Linked DNA regions of Sus scrofa. The protein of the gene in region 2 interacts with the protein of the main gene of each other region in a pairwise test. Links are inferred from orthologs where the notes say so. Each region holds a gene or a part of one and is shown on either strand. Other genes may lie near its edges.

What was found.
Region 1: the proteins of TECR (region 2) and CREB3 interact in a two-hybrid assay, tested with the Homo sapiens proteins (2 studies listed by BioGRID and IntAct). The two-hybrid records come from large-scale screens. The link is inferred for Sus scrofa from reciprocal best matches to the Homo sapiens genes TECR and CREB3.
Region 3: the proteins of TECR (region 2) and HACD2 interact in binary tests that used the Homo sapiens proteins (3 or more experiments, as listed by UniProt). The link is inferred for Sus scrofa from reciprocal best matches to the Homo sapiens genes TECR and HACD2.

The regions. Positions count from the first base shown.
Region 1 is NC_010443.5:236,453,489-236,456,937, reverse strand, and holds the end of CREB3 (cyclic AMP-responsive element-binding protein 3), read right to left. Parts: intron 2,568-3,449; coding exon 2,461-2,567; intron 2,348-2,460; coding exon 2,279-2,347; intron 1,504-2,278; coding exon 1,419-1,503; intron 1,315-1,418; coding exon 1,230-1,314; intron 1,153-1,229; coding exon 836-1,152; 3' UTR 565-835; downstream 1-564. UniProt on the Homo sapiens protein: Endoplasmic reticulum (ER)-bound sequence-specific transcription factor that directly binds DNA and activates transcription. Plays a role in the unfolded protein response (UPR), promoting cell survival versus ER stress-induced apoptotic cell death.
Region 2 is NC_010444.4:64,723,065-64,725,718, reverse strand, and holds the end of TECR (very-long-chain enoyl-CoA reductase), read left to right. Parts: coding exon 1-65; intron 66-160; coding exon 161-264; intron 265-342; coding exon 343-458; intron 459-542; coding exon 543-648; intron 649-754; coding exon 755-827; intron 828-920; coding exon 921-964; intron 965-1,042; coding exon 1,043-1,100; intron 1,101-1,188; coding exon 1,189-1,277; intron 1,278-1,633; coding exon 1,634-1,679; intron 1,680-1,764; coding exon 1,765-1,892; 3' UTR 1,893-2,021; downstream 2,022-2,654. Other genes in the region: NDUFB7 (NADH dehydrogenase [ubiquinone] 1 beta subcomplex subunit 7), read right to left, coding at 2,152-2,284, 2,605-2,654. UniProt on the Homo sapiens protein: Involved in both the production of very long-chain fatty acids for sphingolipid synthesis and the degradation of the sphingosine moiety in sphingolipids through the sphingosine 1-phosphate metabolic pathway.
Region 3 is NC_010455.5:136,832,616-136,836,961, reverse strand, and holds the start of HACD2 (very-long-chain (3R)-3-hydroxyacyl-CoA dehydratase 2), read right to left. Parts: upstream 2,860-4,346; 5' UTR 2,781-2,859; coding exon 2,626-2,780; intron 74-2,625; coding exon 1-73. UniProt on the Homo sapiens protein: Catalyzes the third of the very long-chain fatty acids (VLCFA) elongation four-step cycle (condensation, reduction, dehydration, and reduction).

The DNA.
Region 1 (3,449 bases), on a different chromosome or scaffold from region 2:
GTGAGTCAGTTTTATTTCCCTCCGTAGCTGGGAATTCCCTGAGGGCAGAGACCTACTGTCTCCATCTGTCCAGCTGAAGTGGCTCTTCAGGGGTTGCCGAGGAATATGATGGCCATTTCTCTCTACAGGGCCTGACCTGGGAGGGCTTCCGTACAGCAGAAGGCTGCTACCGTACTGTGTGGGAGCGCCTGGGCCTGGCCTTCCAGACCCCTGAGGCATACTGCCAGCAGCGGGTGTTCCGCTCACTCGCCTACATGCGACCACTGAGCATCTGGGCCATGCAGCTAGCCCTGCAGCAGCAGCAGCATAAAAAGGCCTCTGGGCCAACAGCCAAACAGGACACAGGACAAAGCTCCGGCCTAAAACCTGGACCAAAGGAAGCCATGCAAACCTGAGCCCAGAGGGGGAAGGAGGCACTAACAGCCCAGCCTCCAGCCAGGCCTTTCCTCCTCCACCACCCCGACCCCATCCAGACTCCTGCAACCCTGAGCCACCAGGACAATCATGCGCTCCCTTCTCCCCACCAACCACGCCAGTAAAGAGGGGTTGAGGGTGACCCAAGCATCAGAATCACTTATTTATTTCTTTCTTCACCCCATCCCCTCATTGCATGAAATGTTCAAGGAAGTCAGTGGACTCTCCCAGGCCCCTTAATGGAACAACAGACATACATGGGTGCAAATAAAACCCCAGAAAGCCAGTAAGTGTGGTGTGTTTGTGCCCTCAGGCTTCCTGACAGGGGACAGGACCTGAGGCTCACCCTCTCCCATTCCTTTTCCTTTGAACACAGACTGGGGGCACCAGGCTCTGGCTGAGGCCCCCTGCATTCTCACATCTAGCCTGAGTACCTGCCCTGCAAGGTAACAGATATGGGGCTGTGGGTAGGGAGCCATCCTCCCTCTCTTGTGAGATTTGCATGCAGGGGGAAGATGGGACCTGGGCTAGAAGACCTTGAGAAGCGGTCGGGCAGTGGCAGCTTCATGGGCGATTCTGCCCCAGGAGCCCAAGCCATGTGGTGGAACAGGCAGCAAGAGTTGCCAGGAGCCTGGAGCTCGTGGGTTGAGCTGTCCTGTGGTACCTCTGACTGCAGTGCAGGCAGGTCCCGCTGGGGAACGTCCTCGCTGGGGAGGGCACGAAGCTGGCGGGACAACACTGAGGAGACACAGACTGTTCAGGGGCCACCCTGGCTTCCCCCCCTGGCCCTTCCTGAGTGGTCTCAAGCCTCTCACCTCCATGCTCGGCTGGCGGGCTCCCCCTTGTGTCCGAGGAGTACATGGCAGGTACGAAGAGGAGACAGAAGGAGAAGAGCAGGACCTGGAGCACAAACAGGAAAAAAAAAGAGATGAGGACGAGCTCTGGATTGCACCCCTGTCCCTGCCACCTGAGAAAAGAATCTCTCCTTCCATCGCCATCCTCACCAAGATGCAGGTGCTGCTGCTGCTGGCTTTGTTTGCCGTCTGAATCACCATGGACTGCAGCCTCCTCAACTGATCCAAAAGGGACCTAGCAGAAGAACGGGGGACAGTGAGCAGCCCCCGGCCTGGCACCCTGACATGTAACAAAATCCTCCTGTTAAGGCCACCCCTCCCTCTGTGCACTGGATCCTCTCTCTTACTTTCTGACCTATTTTTGCAAGTGATCACCTCCTCTCTAGACAAAAATGCCTGAAGTTCCTCATTAAAACAAACACACAGGACTCTGCCCTGCCCCTGACTTAAACTCCTTCTGCAAACACCTTTAGTGCTTGTACAACTGCCTGATCAGCTCCACACTCAATCCTCTTCAGGGATTCTATGTTCTTTTTTTATATTTATTTTGCCACACCCACATGCTGCGGGAGTTCCCAGGCCAGGGATCAAACCAGAGCCACAGCAGTGAGAAGGCCTTACCCCAGGAGGCCACCAGGGAACTCCCTCTATGTTCTCTACCTTATGGCCCAACTCACCTGGGTTAGGGTTCCAGCCACACTAGACTATGTGGTGTTCTCTTTGCCTAAAATGCTCCCTGCCGCCACTCCAGAATCCCCATCTACTGTCAAATGCCTTCTGCCACGTGAGGTCTTTTTTGCTCCCTCTTTCTTTCTTGATACTTATCTGTAGTTAACTTGGGAATTTATTCCCCATTGCTGTGAACTTCTTGGAATCAGATACCCATGAAAGGCCAACACCAGGCCTTGCATGTAGGAGCTGCCCAGTTAGAAATCAAGTGTGGAGCAGGGGAAATAAGAAAGTATTAAACGGGAAGAATGAGAAAGCACTGAGGTCGAAGAGCTGCTTACAGATTCTGCTCCTCCAGGAGCTGTACTTTGTTCTGTAGCTCCAGATTCTGGGCCGAGTATTTCAGGACCCTGGAGAAATAACAGGGCTGTGGGGATATGGCCTGTACCCATCCTTCAGAAACCTGACGCTCCCAATTACTTCTGTTCTCCCTGTCCCCCCGAAGTCCCTCTCCCTTTTATACCTGCTCTCTAAACTCCCCACATACACCTTCTTCTTCCTGCGGCTCTCTTGAGCAGACTTTTTGTTTCGAATCTTCCTTCGCACTCGTCTCAGAACTTGTTCCTCCATCTGAGGGACATTGGGGAAAAGGGTAACATCAGAAGAAGGTGCGACCAAAGAGCCTGAAGGCAACGGAGTTCAAGCTTCCCAATGGGCGAATTCCTTCTACAGCCTTCCTGAGCACTCTGCTTCTGTATGAATGCCCCCGAGAACAGGTGTTAACGCCCTCACAAGCCAGAACCATTTTAATTATTAACTAAAAAACACAAAACAAAAAACACTTCCTTGTCATGAGCCAACATCTGCCCCTGTTCTTTCTACCTATCGGATTTACCTAGCACCCAATCTCTGGGTGCTATTTTACTTTATTTATGTATTTACTGCTTTTTAGGGCTGTATCCTCAGCATATGGAGACTCCCAGGCTAGGGATCGAATCAGAGCTACAGCTGCCGGCCTATGCCACAGCCACAGCGACACCAGATCTGAGCCGCATCTGCGAACTAGACCACAGTTCACGGCAACACCAGATCCTTACTTAACCCACTGAGCGAGGGCAGGGATTGAACCCGCAACCTCATGGTTCCTAGTCGGATTCCTTTCCACTGTGCTGTGATGTGAACTCCTCTTTAGCTATTTTAAAACACTTGACATTTCTTCCAAGTGAAAAAAAAATCTGGGCAAAAGTTTTAACTCATCATCTGCTCTCTTCTCAGGATGGAATGTATACTCGTAATATCTGTCAAAAGATCTGGGCTCAAGCCTGGACACTGAGATGTGACGTTCTGGCTGATATAAAGGAGAGCAAGTGGTTACTGCTCTTCTAGAGGCAACACAACTAGATAATGAGTATCTGCTGATATAGCTTGCAAGCCTATTCACTCTTTTTTTTTTTTTTTTTTTTGGGGTCTTTTTGCCTTTTCTAGGGCTGATTCCCATGGCATATGGACATT
Region 2 (2,654 bases):
TGACATCTCATTCCCCACAGATCCGCAGTGGTACCCTGCCCGCCAGTCCCTCCGCCTGGACCCCAGTGAGTACAGCTGTCTGCCTGGCTCCCCCTGGGCTTTTGGGTGGCAGTGGGTGGAGGCCCAGGCAGCCCCTGAGCCCTGGCCCACCTCTTGACAGAGGGCAAGTCCCTGAAGGATGAGGACGTTCTGCAGAAGCTGCCTGTGGGCACCACGGCCACACTCTACTTCCGGGACCTGGGGGCCCAGATCAGCTGGGTAACGGTGAGTGCAGATGCCCCTCTCCCAGTAGCCTTGACTCTCATCTGCCACATTGTGGTGACTCACTTTGCCCCTCCCCAGGTCTTCCTGACAGAGTACGCGGGTCCCCTTTTCATCTATTTGCTCTTCTACTTCCGGGTGCCCTTCATTTATGGCCACAAATATGACTTCACGTCCAGTCGGCATACGGTGGTGCAGTGAGTAGGGCCAGGTGGGAGCTGGTGGCAGAGGGAGGGGAAGGCCTGCCGGACCTGCCCCTGCTAAACTGACTTCCCCGACAGCCTCGCCTGCATCTGCCACTCATTCCACTACATCAAGCGCCTGTTGGAGACGCTCTTCGTGCATCGCTTCTCCCATGGCACTATGCCCTTGCGCAACATCTTCAAGGTCAGCCCCCAGCTGCCCATCCCAGGCCCCTCACCCTTGGCCCGCCCTCCCTGGTCTTCCTCACCTCCACTGGGGCAGGCTCCATCCCGGCCCCGCTCCCTTTCAGAACTGCACCTACTACTGGGGCTTTGCTGCATGGATGGCCTATTACATCAACCACCCTCTCTACACACCCCCAAGTAAGTGGCCTTGGACCCTGTTCCCCCTGTGAACAGCCCCCTCCCTGACCCAGGCTCTCCCCTGACAGGCCTTCCTTTCTGCTTCCTCTTCAGCCTATGGAGCTCAGCAGGTTAAATTGGCACTCGCCATCTTTGTGGTAAGCAGTCTGGGGTGGATGATGGGGTTGGGGGAGTCTGTGGGGGTGCCCTCCGAGCTGACCCTGCTTCTTTGACAGATCTGCCAGCTTGGCAACTTCTCCATCCACATGGCCCTGCGGGACCTGCGGCCAGCAGGTGAGTGGCCTCCTCCAGGCAGGGGGGCTGGCTTCCTGGGCAGGCTGGGCTGGACTAGGGTGTTCTCACTTCTGTCCTGTCCTTCCAGGGTCCAAGACCAGGAAGATCCCATACCCCACCAAGAACCCCTTCACATGGCTTTTCCTGCTGGTGTCCTGCCCCAACTACACATACGAGGTGAGGGTCTGCCTGGCTCCCCTCCCCTGTCCCTCCTGGGGTTCGGGATCCTGTGTGGAGGGCTAGTCTTTAGGAGGGGGGTTGCCTAGCTTCGTAGCTGCTTTCATAGTTTGAACTTAAAGTACCTGGAGAAGGAGATGGCCTCTTGGGGGCCGGGGGGGCAGCTTCACCATGTAGTCCCCCCTTCACCTCCTTTACTCCAGGCCCTTCGAGCCCTGGAGTTTGGTTCCCACCCCCTTACTAGAATAGAAAGTAAGGGTTGGTGGGGAGGTGGCTGGGAGGGTGGGCGGGGTCTTGACAGAACAGCTGGGGCTGTGCAGCCCTGCCCACCCTCGCCCTGCCTGCCCCGTCCACAGGTGGGGTCCTGGATTGGCTTTGCCATCATGACACAGTGTCTCCCAGGTGAGCCTGCTGCCCCTTCCCCAGGTGGGGCCTGTCTGCCCTGGTTGTGTGCAGCCCTCCCTGACTCCACTGCTCTGCCCTACAGTGGCCCTCTTCTCCCTGGTGGGCTTCACCCAGATGACCATCTGGGCCAAGGGCAAGCACCGCAGCTACCTGAAGGAGTTCCGAGACTACCCGCCCCTACGCATGCCCATCATCCCCTTCCTGCTCTGAGCGGCTCCCCCCACTCAGGCTCAGGCAAGCTGGGCTCTGTCCCCCTGCCCCGCCCCAGTGTCATCCTGGGGGAGGGGTGGGAACTGTTGCTCTCTAGTGCCTGGAATAAAACCTGCCTGCCCAGCTGGACTCAGACTCAGGGTGTTTCTTTTGGGGGTTGGTTTAGGGACCAGCACACGACAGAAAGAGGCAGAGTTTGGGCCAAGGGGCCTGGAGGCTTTTATTTCTTGACTGGTCCACAGGGTGGTAGGTGGGCCCACTACAGGGCCATTTCGGGAGCCACCTCACCGGGCCCCTGGCCTCTGGCCATTTCTGCTTCCCTCTGCTCCCGCCGCTTCTTCCGCTGGAGCAGCCGCCGCTCCCGCTCAAACTCCTTCATGCGCTTCACGTAGCTGTGGGCAGAGCAGAGAAGTGGTGTCAGGTCCCCCTCCCCCAGCCAGGACACAGCCGTCCCATAGTCTGAGAAACTGATGGGACAGGAGCACGTGGCCTGTGGCACTTGGGGGGCCTGAATAGGAAAGACCTGTGTCTGTGGATTGTCTGGGGACCACCCCCACCCCCTCAGGTGGACACCAGTGAACCCAGAGCAGGGGCTGGGCCTCCCACCTCAAAGGTCCAAGGCAGCCTCAAAGCCACTATCCCACCCAACAGCCCCTTTGGGGTCCTCTTTCTATTGAGGTGGAAATTTGGAGGGATGGGGTGTGGGGCTCACTCTAGGTGCTCGCAGTAGTCCCAGTCATGCTGCTCATGCTTGCAGGCCAG
Region 3 (4,346 bases), on a different chromosome or scaffold from region 2:
GGAATAATAAAGGCTATGATAGCTACCCTTAGCCAGGTATGCTCTGACCAGGCCAACTGCTATAACGAGCCACCTAAGAAAAAGAGCAATCAGGAAAGAAAAAAAAAAAAAGTTAAGTAGGGTTATAACAGAAAGATTGGGCAACAAGAGATATTGCTAATGGTGCTAAAGGAGATATTGCTAGATTTATCAACCTTTACCGTCAAATGCCAAGCTGTACATAAGGCACTGAAACATTGCACCATCAAAGCACCCTACCCAGAGGAATTTTTGCAAAAGCACAGTGGCACCTCACCCATCTGGAGCTAGGCTTTTTGGCAACCTTGCCTGTTGAGAACAAGGCCAAAAAGAAGGGAATAAGCTAAACTGATCCTTGAGCAGTTAGGTGCCAGAAAGTCCAAGACAAGAAGGAAAAAAAAAAGAAAAGAAAAGAAAACTATTAAAGGAAAAGTTTAAATGCCTTGTGTGGTTAAAGGGTCTGTAATAATAACAAGGTGGCGAGAAGATTTTAAACGATATGAGTATCTCACTGGAACAGACTCATACTTTAAAAATCTATTCTTTTAAAAGACTGAAAATGACATATGAATAAACGGCTATTTTTTAAAAAAAGAACAAAAGGGTTTTTAGCTGAGTTTCCCAAAATCAATTCAGTAAAGAAAGCCAGACCAATACAAAACACAAAACAGGGAAGCATTTAGGCATGACTCTGAACATTACATTTCTGTTCTGTCTTCCAAAGTAAATGTCTCAGGCCTTGTAGTTTTTTATTTGTAAGTTCCATAATGAAATGAATGGACCTTTATTAATGTATGTCTCTATGAAGGCAGTAATAGATTTACTTATGTGTGTGTACTAGGCAATGGGGCATGCTGTGGTCTGCTATTTCTACAAACTGTCATACGAAGATATCAAACGAAAGTTTGCAAAGCAAGAGATGAATTTCTTCATGGTGTAACCGGTTCAGCACTAGCGCCAAGAAAAAAAGCTTACTTTACTCTCACAACCCCAACTTCTCTTCTTTGCCTGCACCCTATTCTCTATCTCCATGGCTCAGGAATAAGGACTTCTTTTCCTCTTTCCCAATGTACCTTAAAATTCTTCTCCCACACAGTGTTCTCATCAATGCCCTTGATAAATGACAAGAATTTTACATATAAATATAAATACACACACACTCTTGAATATTCTCTTAAACTCACTCTGTAACCATTTGTGTGATACAGAGAACTTGCATCTGTAATATTTCTTTATTGGCCTTTAAGAGAAATGTATTCTAGATCCACATCTCCTACTAACAAGTTCTGTGAGCTCAAACAAGTCAAGCAAGTCACAGTTTCTCTGAGCCTAGGTTGCAATACCGGCTATTTCTAATACTAGCAATAAAGCCTATGATCCTCTCAAGATGTTTTGTGTGTGTGTGAAAAGGTGGTGAAATGCTAAAACATGACATTAGCATTTGTTTTTTTTTTAAAGTGTGTGTGCAGGTAATGTATACAGATTTGCTTGGTACGAGTAAGAGATACAAAAAACGATCCGCCTTCTAGGGAGGTATTCTGGGTGGAAGGGAAGGTGAGAGGGAAGATTTTCACAGTATGCCCTTGCATATATTTTGAATTTTGCACTTGGCCAATATATTACCTAGTTTTAAAATAAAACTGGATGGTCATTATACAGTTCTTTCAATTTTGACATTTTTCATAATAAATGTTTAAAAATTTTTACAAATGAATACAATTTAAAAATACATAACAAACAGTCTGATTCTGTGAATCTCCTCACAGAAAATCATGGGATCAAAGAATTGGAGGAACCCTGGAGATCATTTAGCTCAAGTCTTTATACAGATGAAAAAACAGAGGCCAAGAGAAATAAAATTATTTATCCAAAGTCACACAGCTAGTTGGTGCCATAACTAGAACTAAAAACTCGCTGTGATAGGGGACGGACTTAAATGAGAAACAGTGAAAGGGGTAAAATCGGTTTCCAGGGTCTATTCCCCTCCTTCCCAGTACCACTGCCTTCCAGTGTCTTTCCTACCTCAGTCCATCCCAAAAAGTCTAAACTCCTCTAAAGCAGGTCTGCTCAAGTCACTGGGCAAAAACTTTGAACGCTTTTCCACCACCTTTCTTCCACATTAAAGCTCAGCCTGGATTTTGAAAACAGCCGCCTCAGTAAATGGTCACTCTGCAGCCAGAGCTCCCTCCACCCACTTTAGGGGGAACGCTAGACATTCGTGAGTTGCCGCCTGGGCTCTCCGCGCTACAGGATAGCTCGGCACACAGCCCCCCAAACCTTGCCGTGTGGCCAGCCCACCCGTCCTCCCAAGGCCCTACGGACCAGCGCCTGGGAAACCTCTCTATCCCCCAAGAAGCCCCGGAACTCCAGCTCAGGGCACGCCCGGTGGCTGGGAACTTGCTCGGCCCCTGGCCCAGGCAAGAGTCCGGGGCAGGCACTCGGGCGGGTTCAGCCTCGGCTGCCCTTAGCGCCCAGGTGTCTGTACTCGAACATCCGCTACCGGAGACACCCGGCGCGCTGCGGACCGAGCCGCGCCGCTCAGCCTGCCGGCCGCAGAGCCCCCTCCCCAGCCAGGCTCTCTCCCGCCTTCCTGAGCCCCAGCCTCACCCCGCGGTCATCACCACATTGTAGATGACCAGATACGCCGTGGCCAGAGGCCCCGGGCCCTTCTTCTTCCGTGAGCCGCTGGCTTCGCCGGCCCCGGCCCGGCCCCCGCCGGCCCCATTCCCTTTCGTCGCTGCAGTCACCGCCGCTGCCGCCATGTCAAGTGCCGAGAGCCGACTCTCCTCGCGCGAGCACCACCTCCAGGAGTGGGCACTGCGAGTGGGTGGAGGGAGGGGTGAAGGAAAGGCGGGGCCGTGGCCGCGGGGCGGGGCCAGGGACAGCGCCCACGACGACCGCCATCTTGGAGGAGGGCAAAGATGCTCCTGGCGTTCCCCGCCCCGCAGCTCGCTTCAGCCACCCCCGCCATCTTGGATCAGGGTAATCGCCCGCTCTTTTGCACTCCCGGTAATAACCTCAGGGGCCATCTTGGGTTAGGTCAGTGCAGCCTTTGGCCTCCCTTGCGCACTCTGGAATTTACTGCCTTTTAGCTGCTTGGTGGTCCAGGGTTATTGTCTCCCGTAATTTCCCACCTTAAGTTAGATTAAGAAAATGATGTTTTCATTCCCCTTTCTTGCCTCTTGGCGATAGCCGTATGTTCACCCCTCTGCTTGCGGTTTGAGTAACCTGCCATTATGGGTCAGGGCTATTGAGGCTGATTTGACTTCCCATCATTCCCAGAAGCTGGCGAGGGGACCGATCCTTCTTCACCTTGTGGCCAGGTTGAAGATAGAGGCTCCGCAGGTTTATTCCCTGGCTTTTTAAAGCTACTTGTGCGGTGCGTAAGGTCAATGAGAAGTATGGTCTCTTTCCCATCCAATTAAAGTCGCCCGTGTGGCCTAGGATCCAGTATCATCCATGAAGGCCTCGAGGGTCCCCCAGTGCGCCTTCCAACCTGAAGCTGCGTGGGCTCGCCCGTAGCCAGGTAGGACAAGGGTGAGGTTGGCTAAGGGTGAGGTGCAGAGTGAAGAGAGAGGCTTTCCACACACAGTGACCCAAAATAGTGGGATGTTGGCTTATACGGAAAACCTGTCTGCATACGGAAATTGGGACAACTTATGGAAACTGCTTCAAGCAGCTGACCCTACTTTCCTGGATCACTGCTTTGTTCTGGGGGCCTTGGGGTTGTAAAAGTCTCCTAATCACCGATTTTCACATAGTCAAACAACTCTTTAAATTACTTATTGAGCATATAGTGGTATAAAACACATGTCTGTGCTTTCCAGCAAGTATTTATGGAGCATATACAAGGTTGCACCTGGGGTTCATGGCACTAAAAGACTTCAAAAATCCTGGATCTCTCAGAGGTTATCTAGAGAGAGCCAGATGAAAATAATTATGTATTGGTGAAGAGTGTTAGCAGTTAGGAGGTTGTTGCGGTAATCCAGGCCCTAGTCATAGTGGTTTGGACCAGAGTGGTCGCAATTGAGGTAATGAAAAAGGAAATGAATTCTGGACCTATTTTAGAAGTTGAGCTGACAAGATTTGTTGATATATTGTGGAGTATGACGTAAAAGACATTATCAGTAAGTTGGAATAATTGAGTTGTAGAAGAATCTATTTTAAAGGTAGAAATCAGGAATTTTGTTTTTATTTGTTGAGTTTGAAATCTATTAGACGTCCAAATGGAAAGGTTGAGTAGACAATTAGATTTAGAGACTGAGGTTCCAGGAAGAAGTGTGGACTAGAAGTATAAATTTGAGCATTATCAGGGTGGTGATGGTATT